2 linked regions of the Macaca mulatta genome follow. The protein of the gene in region 1 interacts with the protein of each later gene in a biochemical or structural test. Links are inferred from orthologs where the notes say so. Each region holds a gene or a part of one and is shown in the gene's direction. Other genes may lie near its edges.

Region 1 (10,226 bases):
CAGGTGCAGGGCCAGCTGGCCAGTCCCCATGGTCCCTGGGATGGCACAGCCACCAGCTTAGTCCAGGCAACCTCAGTGGAGAGGCTGGGGTTGCCTGAGTCCCCTGGAGCCACCCTGCCTGGCTGTCTTCCCCTTGGGTTTGAGGGAATGCCCTGTGGGAGTACCCCCGACTGGGGGCTTGCTGGCAGCCACTTCAGCCCCAGGACAGGCAGGACTTGGCTTGGAAGTTCCAGGCTTAGAGAGAAGGCAGGTTGGAGGGCCCCGGCTGGCCCCAGGGAGGAGCAAAGAGAGGAGGGCCTCGTGGCTGTGAACCCCTGCTCTGTGCTGGGCTCATTGGCTAAGAGCCCACTGAGGCCACACCTGAGGAGAACCCTGCTCCCCGTGAGGAAACCCTCACGCTTGCCATTTGGGTGGCTCTGTGGTCACCCCCGTCTAAGGGTCTGAGCAGTGACTTGCCCCACGTCGGGGAGCGGGGGAGGGTCCCCTCTGGGGTGGACGCTTCTCCGGTGCACGTCTGCAGGCCCATGCTCCCTGACCTGAGGGACACCCCAGCCCGACATCCAGACACCTCCGCCCAGCCCAGGCCTGATGTCCCCTTGACCGAGGGCGCTGGGGTGAAAGGGTCATCCCACTCCACACGAGGCCAGACGCTCATCTCTGGAATGTTCCGGAAGCCTCAGGAGCCCTGAGGCCTCTGCGGGACTCTGGGGTGCTATTTCTTAACCCAGGGTGGTGGAGTCTGCTGAGCCACCATGCAAGCATTTCTGGGGTCCCTGTGGAACCTTCCAGAACCTCAGATCCAGCGAACCTCATGGGGTTGGGATGTGGGAGGAGTGTGGGGCCAGGCGTGGTCTGCAGTCTTCTCCCCTGCCTCACGCTCCTCTAGGAACTCACGTGTCCGGATCGGATGGCTCCTCAAAATGGCCGGGGTGGGGTGGGGTGCCCTTCACTTTCCTCCCCTCTTTCCTCCTTGCAGTCAGAAAGCAGCCTGCGCTGTGGCGTGTGGGCTGTCGGGCCGGCTGAGAGCTGGTCCCCTGCCTTTCAGTTTAGGGCTGTGGGGACCTTCCAGGGTCCCCTGGGTGGGAGTGCCAGGCCTGGGGCGGCGAGCCCTGGAGGAGCCTCTGGGCCTGAACCTTACCCTGCCGGCTCTCTGCCTGGCAGCACTGCAAGTCTGGTTGTCAGATCTCTTCTCTCACATGAGGGGCCCTTCGTGTTTTCCTCATCTCAGGGTTGAAAGCCAGAGCCCCCGACCCTCCTGTGGAGCCCCAGATTGGAGTCTGGAGCAGCGGTGGGAGAAGGGCCGGGCACCGGCCGTAATGAGAAACAGCCGACCTGTGAAAGGGGCACTGTGTGCGCCCCAGACACAAAGCAGGCTCTAGTCAGGAGGGGGTAGCCATGGAACGTGTCCCCTACCACCACCCAAGTTAGGATCCCAGCAGGGACCCTTGGAGTCACACATGTGGCAGCCACCCCTGAGGATCAGGCCACCCTCTTAGATGCCTCAGTGGGACGCAAGACATCGGTATCTCTTTATTTAAAGATTAAACGAGAAGACGTTTATAGCCATGGGGTGGGGATGGCGGACTGATAGGGCCAGGGCCCCCAACCCCTCGGCCGGCCTCAGGGCTCCCTCTGCCTTTCCCCAGCACCTCTTCTCCCACCCAGGCCCTCGAATCTTCTATGTCAGGCTTCACCGCAGTGGGAAACGGGGTGGTGGAAAATGACACTCACCTGCCGGCGAGTTTGGGGGGCCTGTCTCGACGCGCCGCTCACCCAAGCCCAGCCTAACCAATGTGCAGACTACTGTACACGTTGAGAGCCTCCTGAACAGGTAGTCTGAACACTGGGTTGGCGAGGCCGGCTGTCCATCCCGCAGCACCCCCCAGGCAGACGCCGGAGCCACCAGGCCAGGCCGCGCCTGAGCACCTCTGAGCAGCCAGGGAAACCACCACTCCTCCCGAGACGATCCGCTCTGTCCCCTCTGACGTGGCAAGGCTGGGGCCGGCTTGCATCTGGAGAAAGTTCTGGGTTTTCAGGAAATCCTAAAGAGTGGGGGAGGCGGAGGCAGGAGGCAGGGTTTGGGATCGTGGCTTCTGGGCTCAGGAGAAAGTCTGACTCTCTGGGGGTCGGGGGTGGGGAGGAGGGGCGCACACATGCCTCTGTGTGTGTGTGTGCGCGCGCGCGCGCGTGTGTGTGTGCGCGAGTGTGCGTGCCGGCAGCCCCAGGAAGGCGGCCACTGCTTTCTGGGCAGAATCGCACTGTAAACAGTTCCAGATGTGGCGTTAGCTGGAACGGCCTGTGACTCAGTTACTTGGCCCCGCTGGACGGAAGCTTCCGGCTGCATGACACGATAGAGTCAGGACAGCAAAGGCCCTTGGGCAAACGTCCGGGTGGGGGGCAGGGCTTCTGCAGAGCCCCCTCTCCTGGCCCCTTCTAAAGCCCCCAAAACTCTTCCCCGAGAGGCAGGAGGGACTCAGGCCCTGTGTTACCCAGCCTTGCCTGGGATGGGGGGTACAGGCCTTCTTCAACACCCTCCCTCCCTTGGGTCTGCAGCGGCGTCCCTCCCTCCATGGCCACCGGGCCGCTCTTCTACGCTCTGCTCCCTCCACGGCTGCTGGGCCCCTCTTCCTATGCTCTGCCCTGCTTCTTCCTTGCCTAGAAGGCTAATTCTGGAGCCACTCACAAGAGCAACCAAAGAAAATCCCGGGTGCTCATGGGCACCAGCTCTGCAGCGGGCACCGAGCTCCTCCGTCCTCCTTGGACAGATGAGGAAACCGAGGTGCAGATGGGGGGATGGTGGAAGTGGCTTGCCTAAGGGCACACGGCCAGGAAAGGGCAGGGCTGGCATCACCTCAACCATGCTGAGCTCCTAACGCCTTGAGACTGAGCCCATGTGCCAAGCCCACTGCTTCATCCTGGCTTCCCTTGCAAAGTCCTGACACTCCCAGCCGGCCCCCACTTGCCAGGGAGCCCCAGCCGCCTTCTCCACAGTCACTGTGGCTGCTCTTAAACTTGGAGGCGGCAGGCAGGTTAGGCTTTGTGCTGGGGCAGCACAGCGAGGGGACATGAGAGGAGTTTCCAGAGATGGCCCAGGGAGAAGAAAGGCCAGGGGCACTGTGGAGAGGACTGGGCTTTGGGTCACAGGGACCTGGCCTCTGAAGTCCTGCTGTGGCTTGCACTGCCTGCTATGTGGCCTTGGGCAGCCAGCTTCCCTTTCTGAGCTGGGAGGGATCCATGAACTGAGATGAAGCAGTGCATGGCATGGGTCCCCAAGAGCTGCTGCTGTGGCGGGTGGGCACACATGTCACTGGGTGAGCATGGGGCTCCAGGGTGCTATCCCCAGACTCCGTGACTCCGTGACCCTTGCCCCTGGCTGAGGGGCCCAGCTCCTCTGAGCTGCCCCCTAGCATTTTGGGCAGCCATGCCCGGCACTTGTTTGGTGCTTCCTGAACAGGGCCAACCTTCGAAAGCAAGTGATAGGGCCAGGTGTGGTGGCGCACACCTGTAATCCCAGCACTTCGAGAGGCTTGCTTGAACCCAGGAGTTTAAGACCAGCCTGGGCAACACAGTGAGACCCCATCTCTATTAAAATAATGATAATGATAATAATAAAAAAAGGGACTAAGACTTCTGCAGCACCTGGCCCAGGCGTCAGCTATCCAGCCCTGAGATGTCCTAAAGCGGCCAAGGTTGAAATCTCAGCCCTGCTCCTCTCTGCCTCAGTCTTCACCTCTGTAAAATGGCATCACAGAGGTAACTCACTCCTAGGCTCGTTTCAAAGATGGAGCCCAGATAAAAGTTCCACTCACTCCACGCAAGGCGAGGGGTGGTTTGGTTGCGCATGCAGTCAGCCACATGTCAGCAGTGAACTCAACAGGAGAAACTGAGTCAGTCCAGTGGCAGTCAGCCATCTAGGTCAATAAGCACAGGCAGTCGGGCACCTAGGTCAACAAGTGCAGAATACGTGATGTGTTGTGTGCGGGGAAAGGAGGGTGGAAGTGGGGAAGGTGCGGGTGGAGTTAGGGCAGGAGGGAGCCATGCAGGTGTCTGGATCAGGCAGTGGCCTGGGTCGTCCAAAGGCCCCGGGGTAGGAACCCACCTGGGATACTCAGGGAGCATCATGGAGGGCAGCGTGGCTGGGACAGAGTGACGGACGGGGAGGGGCTGGCAGATGGGCTCATCCACAGCAGCGACCAGCAGCATTGAGAAGCCCCTAGGGCCGGTGGTGGCGCACGCTGCACTCTCTGGCCTGGGGCATCCTGAGTTGTCACGTGGACAGCACAGGGTGACTTTCCCGTCCACCCTCAGGAGAAAGAGAAGAAGTACATGCTGCCTCTGGACAACCTCAAGATACGTGACGTGGAGAAGGGCTTCATGTCCAACAAGCACGTGTTCGCCATCTTCAACACGGAGCAGAGGTGAGGGCCCCAGGGTCCCGGGGAGGGCTCGGGGTGAAGACCAACGGCCTCATTCACACTCCACAGCCTTCACTGAGCACCTGGCTGTCAGCAGCCCCTGCCCTTGGGACCGACCTTCTAGAAAGGGAGTCGGGTGAGAAACAGCAAATGCCAGGGATGCTTCCGGTGCTGGGTCAGAGGTGACTTCTCTGGGCAGAGACGAGGATGAAGGCAGGGTCCAAGTCAGGTGGGAACATGGAGAGTTCTGAGCACAGGGTAACCAGGACCTGGCTCAGGTGCTTGCAGTCGCCCTCTGGTGGCTGAGAGGGAAACAGTATGAGAGGGTGGGAGACCAGGGACCAGGGCAAAGGCCACTGCCTCGTCCAAGTGGGCGATGATGGGGCCACACCCCATAGGGAAGAAGGGTGCAGATTCTGGGTAGAAGAGTCAGGCAGAGCCCTGGTGGGCATGGATATGAGAGAGAAAGACACCGATGGTGACCCTGAGTACCTGGGCCTGAGCTCCGGCACTGCCTGGCTGCTGCCATTGGCCGAGGTGAGGAAGGCAGCGGCGGGGTAGACCTGGAGACAGCCAAGAGCTCCATTTAGTCCAATCCAAGGGAGAGGGCGCATCAGGCAGGCACCTGGATAGATCGAGGAGTGTGACGTCCAGGAACGAGCTCCAGTCTGGGATGTGAACTAGGCAGTCACCATTGTGTAGACAGTATTTCAAGGGATGAAACCAGATGAGCTCCCAGGAGAGTGAAGCTGGAGAATGGGAGGCCCCAGGAAGCTCACAGTACATCTGTCCCATGAAGCAGTGGCTGGAGACTTTAGCAGGGACACTGCTCTCAGGAAGAGACCCGGCTGGCGGGAGGGCTCCTCCCATGCTCAACACAATCGCATTCATCCAGGAAGCAGGGCCCACCTGAGTCAGGGCTTAGCTGTCAGCAAAGGCCCGGTGGTACCCTGAGACCCGCAGGCAGGCACTGACATCCTCCCTGCTGGCCCCAGCACCTCCTTGCCTACTGCTAGGCTACACCCACCAACTCCAGCTGAGTCTCCTGGTTCCCTCCTGCTTTGCTCTGGCTGGCCTAAAGCTCTGAGACCCATTTGTCCACTAGCTGGCCCTGAAAACCTTCATAGCTCTTCTAGGCTTGCCCCTGGCCGTATGGCACCTGGCAGCTGTCCCAGGTCCCTGAGCCGTGTGCCTCCTCTACAGGGAGGGTGACGATATTACCTGATACATCTTTTAAGAGCAGGTTCAGGAAACCCAGAGTAATAGCTGCAAAAACAAGATAGATGGTTGATGGGTTTTTATGTAAATCGAGTCCAGACTTTAGTATCCCAGGCAAAGTGGAGCAGCTCCACAGGGATCCGGATCCAGGCCCTGCATGTTCCTCAGGATTCCACCTGGTGTGCAGAACCCGAGCTCTGCGGTAGGACAGTCCTGCCACGAAATCCTGACTCTTTTTTTTTTTGAAACAGAGTTTCGCTCTTGTTGCCCAGGCTGGAGTGCAATGGTGCGATCTCAGCTCACTGCAACCTCTGCCTCCTGGGTTCAAGCGATTCTCCTGCCTCAGCCTCCCGAGTAGCTGGGATTACAGGCATCCACCACCATGCCTGGATAATTTTTTATTTTTAGTAGAGACAGAGTTTCTCCATATTGGTCAAGCTGGTCTCAAACTCCCGACCTCAAGTGATCCACCCACCTCGGCCTCCCAAAGTGCTGGGATGACAGGCATGAGCCACCATGCCTGGCCCAAAACCCTGACTGCTACTTCTTTGCCCAAAATGGCTGCCCAGGCTCCGGCCATTGTGATGATGTTCCAGGCAGCAGCAGAAAGGAAGACAGGAGGAGCTACAAGGGCATGCCTCTCCCCACACAACCCCATCCAGAGGTCGTTCAGGGCAGCCACTTGCTGACCACAAACCCAAGTCTCACTTAAAGGCTTTGGGGGCAGCTTGGCTGTCTCAACCACACCTGCATGTGGGACAGGAAAACATGCATGGCATGTGGCACGGGGCCTGGCCTATAGACCACCATCTGCAAGCATTGTTTAGCATCCATTCCATTTATCTCCCAGCTTTGAGACCCTGGTTCTTTTTTTTTTTTTTTTTTTTTTTTTTTTTGAGACGGAGTCTTGCTCTGTCACCCAGGCTGGAGTGCAGTGGCGTGATCTCAGCTCATTGCAGCCTCCACCTCCCATGCTTAAGTGATCCTCCCACTTCAGCCTCCCAAGTAGCTGGGGCTACAGGTGCACGCCACCATGCCCAGCTAATTTTTGTATTTTCTGTAGATATGGGGATCTTTCTGTGTTGCTCAGGCTGGTCTCCAGCTCCTGAGCTCAAGCAATCCCCCTGTCTCAGCCTCCCAAAGTGCAAGAATTACAGGTGTGAGCCACCATGCCTAACCTTTACAAAAATTTTTTTGTTTTGTTTTGACACGAAGTCTCACTCTGTCACCCAGGCTGGAGACGGTGGCACAATCTCGGCTCACTACAACCTCTACCTCCCAGGTTTAAGTGATTCTTCTGCCTCAGCCTCCCGAGCAGCTGGGACTACAGGAATGCGTCACCACTCCCGGCTAATTTTTTTTATTTTAGTATTGACGGGGTTTCACCATGTTGGCCAGGCTGGTCTCAAACTTCTGACCTCAGTTGATCCTCCTGCCTCGGCCTCCCAAAGTGTTGGGATTACAGGCGTGAGCCCCTGTGCCCGGCCAAAATTTTTTTTAAAAAAACTCACAGCCGGGCGAAGTGGCTCATGCCTGTAATCCCAGCACTTTGGGAGGCCGAGGTAGGCAAAACACCTGAGGTCAGGAATTCGAGACCAGCCTGATCAACATGGAGAAACCCTGTCTCTACTAAAAATATAAAAATTAGCCAGGTGTGGTGGCGCATGCCTGTAATCCCAGGTACTTGGGAGGCTGAGGCAGGAGAATCCCTTGAACCTGAAAGGTGGAGGTTGCGGTGTGCCAAGATTGCGCCATTGCACTCCAGCCTGGGCAACAAGAGTGAAACTCCATCTCAAAAATAATAATAATAATAATAATAATAATAAATTTCTGGTGGACAGTGCTGCTCTGGGCTTTCCTGAAAATGCCCCAGTGGGAGCTTCCCAGCTACAGTGGGTGTCAAGGGTCACATGCCTACTTCTGGGGGCCCAGGAAAAGAGAAGAGTCAGCTAATCCAACAGAAATAAAGAAACACAGACACCTGCCGAGCTAGTGCACAGTGATCTTCTGCGTAGGCATCACTCACCATGATCCCTCGGCATGACCGGGTGAAGCCTGGGTTGGGTTTGGGTTCCTGATCAGTCAGAAAGACCCCTAGAGCCCACTCCTCCCGGTGGTCTGCCAGACCCATGGCAGGGTCAAGCCTGCTCCTCTCCCTCCCCCCGCAGAAACGTCTACAAGGACCTGCGGCAGATCGAGCTGGCCTGTGACTCCCAGGAGGACGTGGACAGCTGGAAGGCCTCGTTCCTCCGAGCCGGCGTCTACCCTGAGAAGGACCAGGTGAGGAGCCGCCCTGCGCAGCGGCGGCCCAGCGGCCCCCACCTGGGAGAGGAAGCAGAGCTGGCTTTCCCCAGGACAGGTCATTTTCAGGTCATGTTAGCCAGGAGCCTCTGAAATCATGTAGCAGATGCCCACTTGAGCAAGCAAAGGAGAACTTGGAGATACTTTGTCATCAGGGCCCAGAATGTTCCCTCACGGAAGCCAGTGACCAGGGCACGCAGGGGATGGGGTACCGCCTTCTTTGTTCTCCTCTCTTTTCCCCTCCATCCTGAGGTGGAGTGAACATGGCCACCCTTGGCCCCAATATTAAAATGTCTTGCCGGGCGCGCTGGATAGTTCGCGCCTGTAATCCCAGCGCTTTGGAAGGCTGAGGCAGGCAGATCATTTGAGCTCAGGAGTTCGAGACCAGCCTGGCCAACATGGTGAAACCCCGTCTCTACTAAAACTACAAAAAGTAGCCGGGCATGGTGGCACATGCCTGTAATTCCAGTTACTCGGGAGGCTGAGTCAGGAGATCGCTTAAACCTAGAGGTGGAGGTTGCATTGAGCTGAGATCATGCTATTGCACTCCAGCCTGGGCGACAGAGCGAGACTCCATCTCAAAAATAAAATAAAATGTCCTAAGGTTGGGTGTGATGGCTCACACCTGTAATCCCAACACTTTGGGAAGCGATGCGGGCAGATCCTTTGAACCCAGGAGTTTGAGAACAGCCTGGGCAATGTTGCAAAACCCTGTCTCTCCAAAAAATACAAACATACGCAGGCGTGGTGACGCACCCCTGTAATCCCATCTACTCCAGGGGGCTGAGGTGGGAGGATCACTTGAGCTGTACCCAGGAGGTTGAGGCTGCGGTGAGCCGTGTTTGTGCCACTGCACTGCAGCCTGGGTGACATAGCAAGACCGTGTCAAAAAAAAACAAAAAAAACGATGTTCCAATGCCCAGGTGAGGGGATCCACCCCAGCATCAGCCAGTGTCACCCCATTGTTTGGGCAGCTCTGGCCCGGGGCAGGCAGGCCTACCTGGTACCAGTGGGGCTGTCAGGGGCCAGCCTGGGGTCAGTTATTGGTGGGACAATAGGGCAGATGGTTTCCAGAGAACCAGGACTTGCCCCAGGCCATAGTCACCCCTCAGCACCTCCCCTCCCGCTTGCAGGCAGAAAACGAGGACGGGGCCCAGGAGAACACCTTCTCCATGGACCCCCAACTGGAGCGGCAGGTGGAGACCATTCGCAACCTGGTGGACTCATACGTGGCCATTATCAACAAGTCCATCCGCGACCTCATGCCAAAGACCATCATGCACCTCATGATCAACAATGTGAGTGGTGAACTAAAAATGAGAAGGAGGCAGCTGAGTGCGGTGGCTCAGGCCTGTAATCCCAGCACTTTGGGAGGCCAAGGTGGGCGGATCACTTGAGGTCAGGAGTTCAAGACCAGCCTGGCCAAAATGGTGAAACCCCACCTCTACTAAAAATACAAAAACGAGGCCGGGCGCGGTAGGTCACGCCTGTCATCCCAGCACTTTGGGAGGCTGAGGCGGGCGGATCATGAGGTCAGGAGATCGAGACCATCCTGGCTAACACGGTAAAACCCCGTCTCTACTAAAAATACAAAAAAAATTAGCTGGGCGTGGTGGCAGGTGCCTGTGGTCCCAGCTGCTTGGGAGGCTGAGGCAGGAGAATGGCATGAACCCGGGAGGCAGAGGTTGCAGTGAGCTGAGATCATGCCACTGCACTCCAGCCTGGGCAACAGAGCGAGACTCCGTCTTAAAAAAAAAAAAAAGATATAACAGGATTATTCTGCCAAGGTTAAGGAAATAAATAAATAAGCTAAACAGGAGAAAAGATATCAATAGAAGAGGCAAGATAGTAGAAGTAAGTTGAATAAGAATCTCATAATCAGCCTGGGCCACATGGTGAAACCCCATCTCTACAAAAATTACAAAAATTAGCCAAGCATGGTGTCACGCACCTGTGGTCCCAGCTACTCGGGAGGCTGAGGCAGGAGAATTGCAAAAACGTCTGGGGGTGGCCCCGCCCTGTGGGAGACGTTTTTCCAGCAATCACTGTGGGTTGTGGGTTGGGGTGATGTGCAAGCCTGACCCTCCCCAACCCCTGCCCACAGACGAAGGCCTTCATCCACCACGAGCTTCTGGCCTACCTATACTCCTCAGCGGACCAGAGCAGCCTCATGGAGGAGTCGGCCGACCAGGCGCAGCGGCGGGACGACATGCTGCGCATGTACCATGCCCTCAAGGAGGCGCTCAACATCATCGGCGACATCAGCACCAGCACCGTGTCCACGCCCGTACC
Region 2 (10,226 bases), on another chromosome or scaffold:
TCCCACTGTAGATATTTTACTTCCTTCTGTTTACTGAAAGAAAAATTCTAAAACCCAAATTAATCTTGTCTTTTTCAGTAGCACTTTTTAGATGGCTGTGTTCTAGCTGTTCTCCAATTTTAGAAATATCCTTTGGCTGTAGATTTGATTTCTGGAAGTAGTCAAGTTTATTTAAGTTTTTGGGTCTTAAGTGACCTCCCCCCTCACCCCCACCCCAAAGCCAAATTTATTGATTATACTTTGGGTCTCTTTACCAAGGAGACTTGTTTTCCACTGTCATGAACTGCTTCTGAAGGCAATTCCAAAAGAAACAAGCACATACACTGATGAGCAGGACAGCCTCTTTGGGACAGTTGTGGCCTCTGGAGTGAGCTTGTTGAAAGGCAACTTTAATTTGGATGTAGAAATGCCAGCACGTGGCTGTTGCCCCCTGTGGCCAGCTCAGATTGGCATGCCCACTACTCACTGCCCCAGGGGACTAGGGGGCATTTTTTCAGGTCTGCCCTTCACTCTGTGGGGTGATGGAATGTTTCAGACATGGTCAAGCAAATAGAGTGCCCGTAAACATCACACCTTCAGGAGTCAAACTGTTCTCCTTACCAGATCAAGCTTAATTAAATGCCTAATTGGCCATTGAACAATCTGATTACATTAGGTTTCGTTTACCACAGTTTCCTAGTTGTAGTGCACCCGAAAGACAGGACAAGGTTAAAATTGGTAAATTCAGTAAATGTGGACGAGAGTTGTAAAATTCTTACAAGGAAAGACTTAAGATTGACGAACCTTTGTATTCATGATTAGATTTCCTGGATTTGCGAAACCTGGCACGGAACAGTATTTGTTGGCCAAACAACTAGCAAAGCCCAAAGAGAAAATTCCCATCATTGTAAGTTTGTTTGTTTTTGTTTGCTTTCTTTCTGATTAAACTCTTAACACTGTACCTTAAAGCTAAGCGAGTTATTCATCTTTTGGAAAGTATTTTTAAATATATTTAATGTCCCAAATAACAGATAATATGTGTTAGTGTTGTAGGAGTACTGAAGATAATTAACACAAATTAATGCCTGTCATTATATTGTTTATTCTTTATCTTTCAGACCTTTAGTATTGAACAAACACTCATAAAACGTACTATTTTGATCATTTTTTTCTAAAATGTCTTGAAGTGTATTTTACATACTGTTTTTCTGTCAGCCCTATATGTTTCACTGATGAACTCAATTCAAATATTTGTTTCTTCCCTTGTAAAGTACATGTTTGTTATCAGAATAAGGTGCCCTTTCAGATATATTGGTAATAGTGTTTTTTCCAGTAAGCCAGCTGTCAAATCGAGATACGGAGCTACCAAATAAAAGCTGGGAGTTAAGGACATCATTAAGAATATCTGTCTTAGAATTACTTGGTCATCGCATAACGTGACACAAGCCCTTTGGTTTCATTCCACATTTTCATTGGTGATAGATTTTCTGTCTAGGTGATATTTAGTTGTAGATTCCCAAATGAAATTCTGGAAAAGAGAAGTATAGCTCTCTTCTGATCCTGTTGACTTAACCCTGTAACAATCAGATTGGGAACCTGAAGTCTTGAGTGTTCTCACCCTGGACTCAATCAAGGATGAGGAAACATCTGGTCTTATTCTGTAATCTTTGGAGACTTGATAAAATTGCAGGAATAGTATTAGATTCTTTAATTACTTGTGCCTGCATGTTTGAAAAACTCTAAACCCTGGAAGCCTCCAGACTGAAGAGCTGTAACCAAGAGCCCTTTTTATGCTTTTTCCCTCAAAGCAAATTTGGGGTAATTAACTTCTGAGTAGTTATATTAAAGATTTTTTTCCTGTTTTCTCTGGACTTAAATAAGTGAACATGTACCATTATTCTTTTCATGAGATTTAACACTCCTCAAAATCAAGAGCGCACAGCTCTGCCTCAGTTTTGTTTTTTTGTTTTTTGTTTGTTTGTTTGTTTGTTTTTAAGACAGAGTCTCACTCTGTCACCCAGGCTGGAGTGCAGTGGCGCGATCTTGGTTCACTGCAACCTCTGCCTCACGGGTTCAAGCAATTCTCCTGCCTCAGCCTCCCAAGTAGCTGGGATTATAGGCATAAGCCACCACGTCTGGCTAATTCTTTTTGTATTTTTTAGTAGAGATGGGGTTTCACCATATTGGCCAGGCTGGTCTTGAACTCCTGACCTTGTGATCCACCTGCATCGGCCTCCCAAAGTGCTGGGATTACAGGCATGAGCCCCCGCAGCCGGCCTGCCTCAGATTCTTAAAGGGGACTTTGTCCCAAGCGTGCAGTGGTGGTACAGAGTTAAGGGTTCCACCCTTTCATTGACCCGCAAGTTTTAGGTAGAACTGGACCCATGCAGCCAGTAGGCGGGTCTGCCTGTGTGGGCGTCCATACATGGAAGAAGCTGGGGAAAGCCACCGCATCTTCAGGAGGCCCAGAGAAAGCAAAGACTAACTCTTTGCTCTAAAAGTGCCGTAACCTTGCCTTCTCATGAAACAGAGACCCATGAAATTGGGCACTACCCAAGCGCAGTTGCCGCTCTCAGCCCACTCACTGAGGGAGCCCCCGAAAGTCATCTCCTCTGCACCTTTCGGGTAGTTTCTTGGATCTGGGCCCTCTCTGCGGGCGTTATATTAATTTGTTCTCAGAGATTTTAGTCTCTTTTTAAACTGCTCCTATCCTTACAGTAGGGCACCTTCCTGACCTAACAGACTCTGGACTTAAATATCCCAATCCGCTTTTCCCATCTTCCACTTAAAAAAAAAAAAAAAAAAAAAAAAACTAGGACTGGGTATACTTTTTTTTCCTTTTTATGTCTGTCTGGCCTTGCCTCTCTGAGGTCTCAGCCTGAACAAATCTCTCTTCCTTCAGCACAATCTGTGTGATTTTTCTCACTTTCTTTTTACTTTCTTACTGTACTTTTTCAAATCTGCAAGAGTAAAACCTGTTCATGAATTATTTCATTCTCCTTGAGTCTCTGGATGGATCTCTGAGTGAACCCGCTTCCTGAACAGTGGGTCTTTTTACAGTCCGTGTGTTTGCTTTTCATTCTTGTCTTGGATTGTAACTCAATTATTTTTCGTTGTTAAGCCAAGAAGATAGATAACATTCTCAGTATAATAAGGACTTCTATTGCTCTGCAATATGTTTTCATAAGAGGTACTGTCCTACGGTCTGAATCTCTGGAGTCTGTCATTGTGGTCGAAGTTTATGAAATGAATGAGGCAGAACCAGCTTGAGACTGTTGGTGACTCAGGGAGTGATTTCAGGAGCCTGTACATGAGCTCCAGCATCCAGGTTCCTCTGCAGCTGCCCCCATGGCCTTGGATGCTGTTTTAAATAAGTTGAAAACACCAGGTTTGGGACAGCAGACCTATTGTCACCTAGCAATGCCTAGCAGAAATGATTCTCAGGCTCAAAACTTACACACGTGGTCTCTACACCCCCACATAGAACTTAGCTGATTTCCCTTCCTCACCTCCCACCACAGCTAAAACCCCAGTGAGCTAGTGTAAGCCTCGCCTGAATTTGTGAACTTGTGCCCCTAGTCACAGATAGAAGAGAAGGCCAGTGCGAAAGGAATGGAGGCCTACCCTCTTCGGGCAAGCCTTGCCCAGGTGGGTGTGATACCTGGGGGGTTGGAAGTGAGCCAGCCCACTGTGCTTAGGCACAGCAGCCCACGGAAAAACAGCAAGCCTGGTTCTTGCTTTTAAGACATAGTACCTCCCCCTCCCCTCACCCTGCCACTAGTAGTAAAACTGGCCATCATCTCTGGCCAATCTGACTAATCGCTTCTCTGAGCCACAGCAATGCTACTAGACCAGTGGCCCATCTGAAAACTGCTTGTTCCTGATCCACCATGAGATTGGTATGGAACATGAGAATATTTAGAAAACTTGAGGACAATTTGGTATTGTTGAAAAATCAAAATGTATGATGTTATATTTCACCAAACTATTATTGGAAATTTTTAAAAACTAGTCCTTCATCACATGTAGCTTGAGACAGCTAGACTATAAAGAAACATTGTTTTGTAACTAGCACTCTCCTCAGGAGAGGGAAGCTGGTGTCTCCTCTCCCTGGGCTGAGCTACCCACATGGGAGCAGAAGGGTTTCCCACAGGTGCGTTCTTTAAACATAGTATCTAACAGGAACAGAAACCATTGAACCATATATGTACCTTTCAAAGAGGAACAAGAATGACCCTCCAAAGGACTTCTCATTCTGAAAAGAATGACTTGCTGACTCACATCAATTATATTTATTATTTTTCCATGTAACAAAATTACTTATTTCTGGAACATTGCATAGGTTGGAGATTATGGCCCAATGTGGGTTTATCCTACCTCTACATTTGACTGTGTGGTAGCAGATCCCAGGAAAGGCTCCAAAATGTATGGTCTGAAGAGCTACATTGAATATCAGCTAACACCCACTGTAAGTATCCACGTTATCAAAAGCAGAATCGTGTGGATCACTGATCGCAGCTTGCTTTTTTCTTCATTTTCTAGAGTTGGCATTGGTAACCTTTTCTCTTCCGCTTATTTTGTAGAACACTAATCGATCTGTAAACCACAGGTATAAGCACTTTGACTGGTTATATGAGCGTCTCCTGGTTAAGTTTGGGTCAGCCATTCCAATCCCTTCTCTTCCAGACAAGCAAGTCACAGGTGAGTGTGTTTAATGCTAAACCCAGCATGATAAATAAAAAGACTCAAGTCAGATTATCCTCCTATAAGTCAGTGATGGCGTTTTCCATCCTGTAGAGCAGCAGGAGGCAGGAGTTGGGAACAGTAATTAAATACAGCTATGAAGAGAGAACCATAGCATGTTGTACATGTATCTGGAAGTTGCCTAAACATCTAACAAGAACGTTTAATGTACAAATCACTGGTCTTGGTATGTGTGTTGAATTCCAGCAGAGTCATTGCCTTCATTGCTGTACTCTTTCTCCAAAAGAAATGTGTACATTTAAAATATGTGAAAAATGACACCTGAAAAAACAAATGATTCAGATAGCCTAAAATGGAAACAAAAACATATGACCCACATGATGCAAACAGGTTATGCAGATGAGCTGCGTTATTTCATTAGATCAGTGAGCACTGGACGGAGAAGCCACAGAACTGCTAAGTGTTAACGAAGGAAGAAGCTGCCCGGTTTTCTGCTTGCTTTGATTATTACCCTCTCCCTTTTCTTGTTTTTTAAAAGTGCCATTTTCTATTTATTTTGATTACTACCTTCTGCCTTCTCTTGTTTTTTAAGTGCCACATTCCCTCCTCTCCCCCACCCCCAAGAATATCTTGGTAAATAACCCATGGTGTTACTAGAGCACCTTGTAAGTATGCAGGTAGAAAGGTTTGTTTTTGTGTCTGGGAATGGTTTTTGTTTTTAATCTCCAGCCTAGCATAGACTCTGCTACTCTGTGTAGGCACTCAGGGACTCAGCATGTGTGTGTCAAAATAAAGGTCGTGGGCCGGGCACGGTGGCTCGCGCTTGTAATCCCAGCACTTTGGGAGGCCGAGGCGGGCGAATCACGAGGTCAGGAGATGGAGACCATCCTGGCTAACACGGTGAAACCCCGTTTCTACTAAAAAATCAGCCGGGTGAGGTGGTAGGCGCCTGTAGTCCCAGCTCCTGGGGAGGCTGAGGCAGGAGAATGGCGTAAACCCAGGAGGCAGAGGTTGCGATGAGCTGAGATCGCACCACTGCACTCCAGCCCAGGCGACAGAGCGAGACTCTGTCTCAAAAAATAAATAAATAAATAAATAAATAAATAAAATAATAAAGTTTGTGAAGAAATGGACTTAAAGGTTAGGCAGAGTTTAGTATATTGCTAGAAATGTTCATATACATGAACTAGTGAAAATAGAAAGGAGTGGATTGAGAGTGAGAGGAGGTCTTCAAAGGTCAGAGCCAGGAGGCCTGAAAGAGATGTGAAGGAGACGCCGAGAGGCTCACCTGAACCCATGGAGAAGCAACATGGAGGGGTGAAGGAAGGGTTCTTTCCCAAAGGTCAGGGAAGACCAGAGGCGGTGGAATTCTCACTGCATTCGCAAGAGTCTAACAGTTCAGAGAGGGCCTGCGACTCTTCACAGCCAGGTGGCAGTGCCAGATGGAGACATGTCAGCATCCCCGTGGAGTCCCACGTGTGCCTGCCTGGACACTTCCCAAGTGCCTCTCATCTGTCCTCACAGATAGTCATTTTCATCTTCACTTTATGTATGAGGAAATGGAAATCCAAACATTAAACAGGTTCCCCTCTCTATTGTCGAAAAAGGAATGTGAACCTGATCCCACAGCTTACTCTGTTTATGTTAAGATGTGGACTGACTAAATCTTCCCCTAGAATTAGTATTCATACAATGAGTAAATTATTCTCCTTAAAACATTACTTTATATTTTACTTTGTTTTATGTTTGTTTTTCCCTGAAGTGTTTTGTGGAGATGGAAAGTTTTGTTTTAAAAGTTTTGATTTTGATTTTTTTGGAAAACATTTCAAAAATTTCAAATTGTCATAGGAAAATTGAAAATGGGGCTGCACTGCTGGGTAGATAAACACATCCCCACAGTCCCCTGGGTGACACTTGAGTGGTGCCTCGTGATGCTGGGGCCATGGAGTGACAGCCAGAGGGCCGGGCTGCTGCTGCCTTCCGCCCAGAGGCACTGACCGCACCCCTACTTCTAACCCAGTTCAGACACTCCCTGTACCTCCTTTTTGTCGTCCTTATTGCTTTCAATCACAGCTTTCTCTTTAAAAATACAGATTTCTTTCCATGAAAACTTCAGTTCTGCCATTTAAAATTATAGTCTATTTCCTTGAATTTTGTACTGTCCTTTATCAACTTGGTTAGCACAGCGTGTGCTCCGTGGTGTTTAAATACATGGGTTAATGGCCTGTTTCGGGCTTGTAAGAAATTCTCGTATCTTTTAGATTGTAATACATTGTTTATTCTGAATAATTCAGTACTCTTGTAAAGCTTCAGAGAGTCACGGTTCTCCTTCCATACTAAGATTTGTTTAAAAAAAGTAAGTTCAGGCGTGCAGCCAGGGAGGGGAATGTCATAGAAAAGCGAGCAAGCAGCAGCCCCTCGGTGTGAAGAAAGTTTAGCTTTGATTCACTAACTGGGATATGAGCCAAGGAAGCCAAACAGCACAGAAGGGCTCTATTTCCCCCCTCTCACTTGTTTGCCTCCTGCCTGGGATGCCCATAGATCATTATTATATGAGAGCTCTCCTCTCACTTAACTACAGAAGAAAAGAAAAAGGAATGCTTAGTAGGTGATGCTGTGATATTCCTGTGGACTCGATAATTAATCCATGAAAAAGTGTACAGTTAACATTTCTGTATTTGTTTAGAGATTTTTTTATGGAAATAATATTGAATGAATATGATTTTACTCCTGGGACCAAACTGATACATTCATATACTTATTGAAAACCTTAGTAAGGTTCATGGAAAACAGAGAAATAAAAGTTCCTCCTTCTTTCTAATTCTTTGCAACTTGGTCTGAAAATTCTACCAAACGTAAAATAACATCTGAAGTCATAAGCTTAAAGAGAAACCAGCTGTGTCAGAAAAATTTTCACAAGAGTAATTTTTCAATAAAATAAGAATCTCTAAATTTCAACCAATGATTGGATAATGAACTCTGGGTATAACTCACCTGGCCGTAATGGGAGGTTCATCTTATCCCAGGTCCAGGCTGGCTTTCTGGCCAGGAGGTGGATTATCGTTTTTCCAAGTTACAAGGCTTTGCTTCTGCTTAATCTACTGCTAGTAAATGCAAAGTTTGCAATGCTGTAGTACACTGACAGTGTCTAGACTCATTGTTCTGTTCAAATCCACTTTTTAGGTAATAAAAGTTTTTGATATATAGGTGCATAATACTATCTATTATTTATTTATTTTTGGAGACAGGGTCTTGCTCTGTTACCCAGCCTGGAGTGCAGTGGCACAGTCATAGCTCACTGCAGCCTTGACCTCCTGGACTCAAGTGATCCTCCCACCTCAGCCTCCCAAGTAGCTGGGATTATAGGTGCACGCCACCATTGCCTGACTTATACTTGTAGTTTCTAAAGGAAAGTTCAGGTTTCATTTTTTAAATTTTACTTTTAAATTTAGGTACAGTAAATTCATTCTTTTTGGTGTAGAGTTCTGAGTTTTGACAGCTACCACTGCAGTCTTGCAACCACCACTAGATTTCATGATACAGAACAGCTCCGTCACCTCCCCAGGTTCCCTCGTGCTGCCCATCCCCCTAGTCCTAACCATGGCAACAGCTGATGTGTTCTTTGTGTTCATAATTTTGTGTTTTCTAGAATGTCATTATAAATGGAAGCATGCAGTGTATAGTCTTTCGAGTCTGACTGCTTTCATTTAGCATAACGCATTTGCAATTCATTCATTTTGTTGTGTCAATAGTTTGTTCCTTTTGAGGCCAATAGTATTCCAGTGTTTAGATATACCATAGCTTGTTTATCCATTCACTCATTGAAGGACATTTGGGTTTCCAGCTTTTGGCAATTATGAATAAAGCTGCCATAAACATTTGCAAACAGGTTTTTGCATGAACATAAGTTTTCATTCCTCTTGGGTAAATAAGAGTAAAATGACTGGGTCATTTGGCAAGTATATGTTTAATGTTTAAGAAATTGCTCGACTGTTTTTCAAAGAGGCTATACCATTTTGGAATCCTCACCAGCAATATATGAGAGTATCAGTAGTTCCACATCCCTACCTGCACTTGATAGTGTCCGGTTTTCCTCGTTTTAACCAGTCCGATAGGTATGCAGTGGGATCTCAGCGTGGTTTTGATTTGCATTTCCTGATGGCGAGTGGGGCCGAGCATCTCTTCATGTGCTTATTTCCCATCTGTAGGTCTTCGGTGCTGAAGCGTCTGTTCACATCTTGTGCTCATTTTGTATCAGTCTGTTTTCTTGTTGTTGAATCCTGAGATTTTTAAAAATATGTATATATTCTAGAAACAAGTTCTTTGTTAGATAAGTGATTTGCAAATAACTTGTCGCAGCTGTGGCTTGGCTTGTCATTTTCTTTTTCTTTCTTTTTTTTTTTTTTTTTTTTTTTTTTTGAGACAGGGTCTCACTCTGGTCGCCCAGGCTGGAATGCAATGTCAACCATCTCAGCTCACTACAACCTTGACCTTGACCTCCCGGGCTCAAGCAGTCTTCCAGCCTCAGCCTCCTGAGTAACTAGGGGACTGCAGGCTCTCATCAACACTTCTTGTGAATTTTTTGTATTTTTGGTAGAGACAGGGTTTTCACCCTGTTGCGTAGGCTGGTCTCGAAGTCCTGAGCTCAAGCGATCCACCCACTTCAGCCTCCCAAAGTGTTGGGATTAGAGGCAGGAGCTACCACACTAGCCTTATTATTTTCTTAACAGTGTCTTTTGCATAACAAAGGCTTTTAACTTTAATGAAGTTCACTGTATCAGTTTTTTCTTTCATGGACTGTGCTTGAGGTGTCATGGCTAAGATCAATTCACAACATTTTCTTCTAAAGGTTTTGTAGTTTTAGGCTTTTCATTTAGGTCTTTGATACATTTTGAGGTTATTTTTATATAAGGTGTGCAGTGCGGTAGAGGTAGTGCATTTTTTTTTTTTTCATCAGGATATTCAGTGGGTCTCACACCATCTTTTGGAAAGACAGATCTGTTTTACATTTATTAGAATGATGTTTGTAAAAGAAAAAAATCAGTTGATTGTATTTGTGGGTTTATTTCTGGATTCTGTTCTGTTCCATTGATTTATGTGTCCATCCCTTTCTCCAGTCCTGCACTGTCTTGACTTGTGTAGCTTTATGGTAAGTCTTTAAATCAGGTAGCGTGAATCCTCCAACTTGGTTCCTTTACAACACTGTTTTGGCTATTCTTTTTCTTTTCCTTTCCTTGTAAATTTAAATGTCAGTTTGTAGATATTTATAATCATGCTGGAATTTTTATTGGAACTGCGTTGATTCTATGGAACAATTTTCACATCTTGATATCTCATCTTCTCCATATATAAATGTATCATATTTTATTTTCATTAGGGCTTTGGAGTCTTCAACATACAGATTCTGCATATATTTTGTTAGATTTATATGTAAGAATTTCAGGCCAGGCACAGTGGCTCACAGCTGTAATCTCAGCACTTTGGGAGGCTGAGGCAGGTGGATCACCTGAGGTCAGGAGTTTGAGACCAACCTGGCCAACGTG

What was found. The genes of interacting proteins can lie anywhere in the genome.
Region 2: the proteins of DNM2 (region 1) and SNX9 form a complex in vitro, tested with the Homo sapiens proteins (2 studies listed by BioGRID and IntAct, with this or other methods). The link is inferred for Macaca mulatta from reciprocal best matches to the Homo sapiens genes DNM2 and SNX9.

The regions. Positions count from the first base shown.
Region 1 is NC_133424.1:11,553,016-11,563,241, forward strand, and holds part of DNM2 (dynamin-2), read left to right. Parts: intron 1-1,782; exon of another isoform or gene 1,783-1,853; intron 1,854-4,308; coding exon 4,309-4,418; intron 4,419-7,801; coding exon 7,802-7,913; intron 7,914-8,729; coding exon of another isoform or gene 8,730-8,753; intron 8,754-9,067; coding exon 9,068-9,232; intron 9,233-10,038; coding exon 10,039-10,226. UniProt on the Homo sapiens protein: Catalyzes the hydrolysis of GTP and utilizes this energy to mediate vesicle scission at plasma membrane during endocytosis and filament remodeling at many actin structures during organization of the actin cytoskeleton.
Region 2 is NC_133409.1:76,773,608-76,783,833, forward strand, and holds part of SNX9 (sorting nexin-9), read left to right. Parts: intron 1-801; coding exon 802-886; intron 887-4,321; coding exon 4,322-4,447; intron 4,448-4,562; coding exon 4,563-4,680; intron 4,681-10,226. UniProt on the Homo sapiens protein: Involved in endocytosis and intracellular vesicle trafficking, both during interphase and at the end of mitosis. Required for efficient progress through mitosis and cytokinesis. Required for normal formation of the cleavage furrow at the end of mitosis.